Cricetulus griseus: one gene and its partner. The protein of the gene in region 1 purifies or fractionates together with the protein of each later gene. This does not show direct contact. Links are inferred from orthologs where the notes say so. Each region holds a gene or a part of one and is shown on either strand. Other genes may lie near its edges.

What was found.
Region 2: the proteins of Gipc1 (region 1) and Sh3bp4 purify together in Homo sapiens (affinity purification with mass spectrometry; 4 studies listed by BioGRID and IntAct, with this or other methods). This does not show direct contact. The link is inferred for Cricetulus griseus from reciprocal best matches to the Homo sapiens genes GIPC1 and SH3BP4.

Annotation. Positions count from the first base shown.
Region 1 is NC_048596.1:160,761,547-160,765,709, forward strand, and holds the start of Gipc1 (PDZ domain-containing protein GIPC1), read right to left. Parts: upstream 2,801-4,163; 5' UTR 2,675-2,800; intron 1-2,674. UniProt on the Homo sapiens protein: May be involved in G protein-linked signaling.
Region 2 is NC_048595.1:440,688,433-440,691,932, reverse strand, and holds part of Sh3bp4 (SH3 domain-binding protein 4), read right to left. Parts: intron 2,536-3,500; coding exon 182-2,535; intron 1-181. UniProt on the Homo sapiens protein: May function in transferrin receptor internalization at the plasma membrane through a cargo-specific control of clathrin-mediated endocytosis.

The sequences.
Region 1 (4,163 bases):
GATCACCATTCCTTGTTCTATATTTGTTTTAAGTTTACTCTGTAGTCCCTGGCTGTCCTGGAACTTACTCTGTAGTCCAGGCTGGCCTCAAACTCAGAGATCTGCCTGAATGCTGGGATCAAAGGCGTGTGCCACCACTGCCCAGTTTAGGCCAAATATCTTAACTCGTCTGATCAAAAAGGAAACCATGTATATGCCTGGATTGCTCCTGGAACACTATTGGGGGTGTGTGAGTGCATGTGTGTGCCTGGGACAGTCCCCGCAATACTATTGGGGTGTGTGCTGATACACTGTCTTTCCTCACTGTCCTGCACCGCATACCCTGTTCCCCAGCCTCCTTTCTGTCTCTGTACATATTCACTGCTGTGGTTTAGTCCAGCTTTTGTGTGCCCTCTGGTGAGAGACCCAAGGCACTGAGGAAAATGAGTGACTAATAAACCAATGATGCAGACCCTGAGACACATGGCCTGGATGATGGCCTGGATTCAAGTTCCACCCTTGCTACTCACCAGTGGCACAGACAAAGCCAAGTTGCTTAGCTTCATGAGGCCGCAGTTTTATCTCCTGAGAATCTGGCAGAGTTTATGTCTGTTGGGTACTTACGGAATCTCATCAGAAAGTGTTGGACGTGTTATTATTTGCAGTGATGGAGACAGAAACTAGAATCTTTCATTGCTTGGAAGGCACTCTGCTGCCGACCCACACCTCCCCCACAGGTTCGGGGCAGGGGCTGTACTGCTGACCTGCACCTCCAAACTTCTTCAGTCTTTATTCTGGTCACATCCTTCCTTCCCTGGCCTAGAAGCATCCCAGTTCCTATGCTGGCAAGGCCTATTCCAGACTTCTCCAGGCAGCTGGCTTGCCCAGCCCGCACACAGGAGCTGCACCACAGTACTAGGGTCTATGAACTTGCTGTGTGCTACCCTGACAGAGCTTGTCTCTCAATGTCCCGGCTGCTATTTATCTTGCATCTTCATTTTTAAAATTTATTTTATTTTAATTTTATGTGTATGAGAGCTTTGCTTCATGTCTGCCTGTGCATCACTTGGGTGCCTGAAGAGGTCAAAAGGAACTAGTTAGAGATGGTTGTGACCCACCATGTGGGGGCTGGGAATGGAACTCCCAGCATGCAGTCTGTGAGCTGTCTTTCCAGCCTGTGTCTCTATTTTAAAATGCAAACCATCTCCTATCTCACAAAGGAATCTCACCGTATAGGGGAAAACTCGACAATAAAAAAATGTGTTTTCTGTACCAGGTACTCAATCACATCTATAGCTTCATTCCCTGTTCCAGCTATTCTATACTTCACTCTGCCTTGGGGTGTGTGTGTGTGTGATCTCCCCCTGCCCAGTGATCTCTGAGAGGTCACTCAGCACTTAGAAGGATCTGCAGTGGCTGCCCATGTTAACTTGTTGCCTGTTCCCCACTAGAATGCAGGGAATTCTGTCCTGCATTTGGAGGACACTTCCCTCCAAGCAAAACATGGTGCCTGGCACAGTGGCTGCTTAGCACTTGCAGGTGAACTGTAGAGTGAATGTCCTATAACCCTGCTTGTGAACCAAACCCCACCAACATGACTGCTAGAGAGCTACGAGCTCCTCCCCGCTGTCTGCAAGGAGCTGAAGGGAAGTGGGTTGGATGGATTTCCGGAGTTCAGCGCTCTCATCCCAAGAAGGGCCAGAAACTTAGCAACCCTGCAGTCACAGAAACGCTAAGTGGGAGGTGCAGGAAGCAGGGAGGGGGACTCCTGGGGCTCAGATAACTCCCAGTTTAGGGGACACCACACCTGTCGTCCCTCGCTCCTAACCCCCAGCACAGTACTACTTTGGGGAGGAGGGGAGGAGGCCTCTGATTCATTCTTGAAAAACCGGATCCTAAAGGTTTCATCTCTCCAGTGTTTCCGGGGCGAGTGGACGCACCTCTTGCCCCGCTCCCCCGCCCCGGCCTCTACACTCACTCTCGCTCATTTCTCTTCGCAGTAAGTAGACAGGGTGGGTGGAGGGGGAATGGGATTAAAGGGCCCACGTCAGGCCTTGCCTGGCCAGCTCAAGAGAAGGGACACGAGGGCAACTTGGAAGCTGTTTAGTGACCCGTGGGCTCGGGGAAGCAAAACCCAGCAGGTGCGGCTCCGAAGGGAATATGGGGGCGGCCGTGTGCAGTGAGTCCGGTGGCTGGCTGGTCAGGGACGACTTCTGGGACTAGTTTCTGGACTCAAGGCATGGGTCCCTCATCCCCACCGGCCACTTACTAGCTGTGTGACCTTGAGTGAGTCACTCCACCTCTCTGGCCCTGATCCCTCACTTCTAAAAGAAGTTAACAGCCCCTCCCAGGAGGCTGTTTTGATTCAATGTTGTGCACTGTAAGCGTCTGACGAGGAAGCGCTGGGTCCGGGCTAGCGAGGCGGGGGTGGGGGGTGGTCCGCACTATTACTGCGGTTGTTATTGTCTTCCGGACTCGGCGGCCTCGGTGCCCCCGCGGCCAGCTTTTGGGCAGGGGCCCGGGAGGGGTCGGGACCCATCACCAACAGGGAGCGTCCCGGGAGCAGAGGGCAGGGGCGGACCGGAGGCCCCGGCCGGAGGGGAAGGGTCCGTGTTTGGGGTCCCGACGCGGCCAGCCCCACCCCGCCGCCACGGCTCCACGCCCGGGAGGCCGCCCCTGGCCGGGGAACACTCACCTGCGCCGCAGCCACCCCGCGCGCCCAGTTCGATCCTCTGGAAACTCGGCCCGGCTTCTCCCTCGGCCTCCCGTACCTGGGCGGGGCCGGCGTCCCGAGCGGACCAATCAGCGGCGGCCTCCCATACTGGCGGCCAATGGGTGCCTCCCGTCGGAACGCTCTGAGGGATCCCTCCGCCGCACCTCGGTCTCCCCCCTGTACGCGCAGTGGTCCGACCTTACTCGTTCTAAATGGCGGCGGGCTGAACCATTGAGGGGCTGCGCGGGTGAGAGGACGGGGAGCTGGGCGGGAGCTGGCAGTAAGAGTCAGATGACCGGGTTTGGAGGACTGCGCTCGGCATCCAGGAAAGCGGGCTCGTTGGGAGGTCAGAGAGGCGGCCGAGAGCACACCCTCGCTCAGCTTCCCTCCCAGAAAGATGCTTTGACTCCAGGGGGTGGGCCATAGTGAATAGGGAGGGTCCCGGGTGTCTCTGCTTTTTCCACTCTACACAATAGACAAAGCAACCGTGCATTCATTCAGTCTTTCAATCTTTAAGTGCCCCTGCCTGGTACCAGGCTCGGTCCTGGCTCTACAGACACATGAATGGAGATACAGGGTGTGCAAAGGCTCCGAAGCTGCACAGAGAGCCACAGAGCACTTTGCTAGTAAAGCTGTGTAAGAATACACGATGGAGAATGTTTAAACAGTCGGCTTGTCAGTTCAGTACTGTGCAGAATCATAGATGGTGACCAACCAGTGCAGGTTTCCTCCTCCTCCTCCTCCTCCTCCTCCTCCTCCTCCTCTCCTCCTCCTCCTCTCCTCCCCTCCTCCCCTCCTCCTCCTCCCCTCCTCCTCCTCCTCCGCCGCCTCCTCCTCCTCCACTTCCTCCTCCTCCTTCTCCCCTTCCTCCTCCCTCATAGAAATGTATGATGGGGAAAAGGGTAGATTATTGAATCTCCTTAACCCCCAAACAACTGCTAATCCCAAAATACTTACATTGTTATATATTTTACTTTCTTGATATAAACTTAAGGTTAATTTTGTTATGCTATATTTATATTTCTACTCTTGTTTATGATACTATGTTTATGCAGTTTATAATAGTCAAACTTAATGTTATGTTAGGTTTAGCTAGATATACAGAGATATATTTTTAGATGGGTTGGTAATCTTCAAACACTTCAAAGACCTACAGAATATGACATTTAAAATGTTTTGATAATTTAAAATTCTTTTGACATGAGACACATCTGCTCCTGGCAGCTGATCTACTCCTGAGAGGATGATGGGCACTGAAGTCACTCCATATGGAGTTTGTTTCCCTTTTAGCAAAACTGGCCTATTGGGTAAAGAGCTGCCCTTGCCTGGACTGCTGACAGTAAGTATGCTGTCCAATCCAGACAAACAGGACACAAGAAAAAGTGACTGCTGAACCTTGCCAAGAAAGGTTAGGAGAGTCCTTCAGATTTTCTTGCTTCTGACAATGGAAAATGATATGTCAGATATTCTA
Region 2 (3,500 bases), on another chromosome or scaffold:
CCCAAGACCACAGAGAAGCTGATAAAGAGGGGAGAAGACACCTTCCTGGGGGGTCTTTAAAGATCCTGTAGCTACACTTCCAACCCTGTGAGTGGCCCAATATGGCCCATGCTTGTCTGCCTCTGGAAGCTCACCCCAAGGTCTGGACACCCCAAGGTCTGGACACCTGCGGGACACTCACCATCACCAGCTCCTTCTGGAAGGACTTCCGGTCCTTGTTGTCAGGGTTGTTACAGTCTTCCTTCAGCTTTTCCAGAACAGACGCCACCCGCTCCGCCTCGCTGTCCAGCTCCGCCCGGCAGAAGAAGGTGAGAGGCAGGTTCCCGTAACCCAGGGCGTCCGCGAAGGCTCGCCAGCTGCTGATGTTCTCCATGAGCAAGGTCCGCACGGACGCATAGATGTAAGTGAGGAACTTGCAGGGCCGGAGGATCTGCTCCAGCAGCACGGAGGTGCTCAGCTCAGGCCCCGAGAACAGGCTGGGCCGGGCTTTGCCCACTACCAACACGTTCTTGGTGTGCACCAGGCCCACCTTGCCCTGATAGTAGCCGATGTACCACTCCTTGGTCCACAGTTGTCCCTTGAGGCGGATGCGTTCCTCGCTGAGCAGGGCCACTGCGTCACCCTTCTTGTACTCTAGCAGGTAGTGGCTCTTGTTCTGCCTCACCACCGTCTTTAGTAGCTTGCCGAACTTGAGGCTAGACACGGGGCGGTCCTGAAACGTTGGGTACTTGGTGGTGACAACGAACGGGGACAAGATGACCTTCCCAACCTCGTTCTTCTTCAGGAACCTCCTCTGCCCGGATGGTTTAATGGCACTTTTGGGGGGTGGCTGCGGAGTCTGGACACAAAACTGGGTGAGGATGGTGTCCTGATCGTCCCTGACCTGCACCCTCAGGGTGAAGTCAGACAGCTCGTTGGGGTTCTGGGAGATGATGGAGTAGATCAGACGGCTAACCTTACCCAGTTTCATCTGGAACCCTCTCACCACTTTGGCTTGCTCGATGGCCTTGACCTCATAGTTGGTCATATTGGAGAACATACACACTTTGAGATCCTGGGGTCTGGACAAGATGAACTGGTGCTTGCCCCACAGCTGTAGGGCTACCGGGGCAGGACCAGGAGCCTGCCGAGTAACCTCAGTGACCAGGAGGGTCTTGGGGGCACAATCATGTCCAAAAATGGTCACCACGGTCTTGAAGGACGGATGGATGTGTTTGGGACCATAAAGACCCACAGTGACTCTCTTATTGATGAAATCCCATACGGTGGAGGGGTAGAGGATGTTGGCGCCCTGGGCGACAATAGCGAGGTACATGCAAGGCTCCAGGTTGTCCAGTTGTACCTGTACCGTGTCCCCATAGCTGTAGGTGAGGGGGATGGGCACATAGGGCCCCTCCTTGGAGTCACTTCTCAGGCACTGTAGGACCACTGAACTTTTGCTGAAGATGTCGCCCTTCACCTCTGCGGAGACTTTCATCTCTAAGATGATCAAAGTGCTCACCTCCAGGTTACTCAGCTTCACCTCCACCACGGGGCTGACGCTGCTGGATCTGTCGCTGTTGAGCTCCAACGGAGGGTCCAGCAGGGCTTTCATGGAGATCTGCTGGGTCTCCCCAGGGGCTACATGGCCCTCGGGCACATGGATGCTGATGTTGGTGTCAGGAAGCTGCACGGAGCCCCCAGAACTATCCAGCTTGCACACGATATTTGTTTCCACTGCTTGGGTCTGTCCCCAACCTGGGCTTTGACCGAGCAGGTCCAAGTCATGGCAGGATCGGGCCAGCTTCCGGTGATTCAGCCAGGCGGTTCGGAAATCTTCTCGGCTTTGAAACTGTTCTGGGGCAGGTGACTTCAAGCCTGTGAAGAAACTGGATGTCTCAGGAGCATCCGATTTGGCTTGTAGGACGGAGAGTTCCGAGAGGCTGTAGGAACGCTTACTTCTGAAGAAGGGATTGTCCCGCCTGACCGGCTGCTCCACGTGGAGTCCATTGGTGGCTGGGAGTTCATCAAAGATGTTGCCGGTGCTGTTGGTGGTTGCTGAGCTGGATTCAGTGAAGGAAGATGTGCCCGTATCAAAGAGGAGCAAATCCACAGTACTCTTGGGGTTTAGCTCATCCACACTGGGCTGGGCATTCCCATTTAGAAAAGGGTTCGTTCGGACTCCGTTCCAGAAAGGGTTGTTACTATAGGGTCTGCCAGATTCTTTCTGGTCATCTGTCCAGCCCCCTAGCAGATCTAGCTCCTTGGCGACTTCATCGGGGCTATCTGGGAGATTGTCAATCATGCCACTGTCACTCAGGGTGGAGTTCCGGTAGTTCAGTGGCTGCACATAGGAGGAAGGGATGTAGCCCATCTCGGTGGTGTTGTGGGCATACCACCACTCCCCACCAGACGTGTCCAAGACGTAGAGGTGGTCGCCTTTGGAGAACTTGAGGGTGGTGAAGTTGTTTGGGCAATAGTCTTTGATTGCAATCACTTCTTTTGCGTTTCCAAAAGGCGTGGGGTTGTCTGCTAGCAAGGCACTGGGAGAAGGCACTGCACAAAACAGAGAGAGAGAGAGAGTGAGGTCAGGCCTACAGGCACAAGAGACACTTCCAAAGTGGGGGTAGGGCGGGTGGATAAGAGGTGCAGTAGACTAGAAATGGATGGTGCCATGATATTGTCACCAGCCCTGCCAGGAAACAATAGAAACCATCCAGGGTAAAGATTCATGTAAGCCCCACGTGGCCCAGGTAATGTAACTCAGGAGTGCTCTGGTGCTCTGCCACTCAGCCACTTTCCGATTCAACCTTCTAATTGAGGCAGAGGACCCAGAAGAATGTCCCTCAACCACCCTAGAAAGACAGATCACATGATAGGCAGTGGACATGTCCCTATGTTCTGAACACCTCATTTTGATAAAAATTTATCTAATTTCTAACCAGGATTGTCACTATTATGAAAGGGGGGGACTAATGTGATGCTGGAGAGCACACTGACACTATAGACTAGGCAGTACCCCAGTGATGCTATGGGCTAGGCAGTGGTCCAGCGATGCTATAGACTAGGCAGTGGTCCAGCGATGCTATAGACTAGGCAGTGTCCCAGTGATGCTATGGGCTAGGCAGTGGCAAGCTGCAAGTATGGTCTTGGAATGAGGAGCCCTCAGCTTCCAGCCACAGGTCATTGAGTCCTTGTTCTCTTTTGGTATGGAAGACAGAAAAGGAGGGGCAGCTCCCTGACAACCAGGACCAGTTCGGTTTCAAAGTCCAGCCCATTCCTCACTCTTCCTTCAGGTGACAATGATTCTTATGGGGTTTTTTTGAACCATTTTAAATGACTGAAGCATCAAACCCCCACACCCTGATAATCAGAGGTTTGTCTTGCCATGCACTAACAACCATTTGAGCACAGCCTGAAAAGCCATCACTTTAATGCATGGCCCTCCCCATTACACCATGTCAGTGAGTGCCACAGACAACACCTGGAACAGACAAAGCAAGCCACCTAAGCGGAGCATG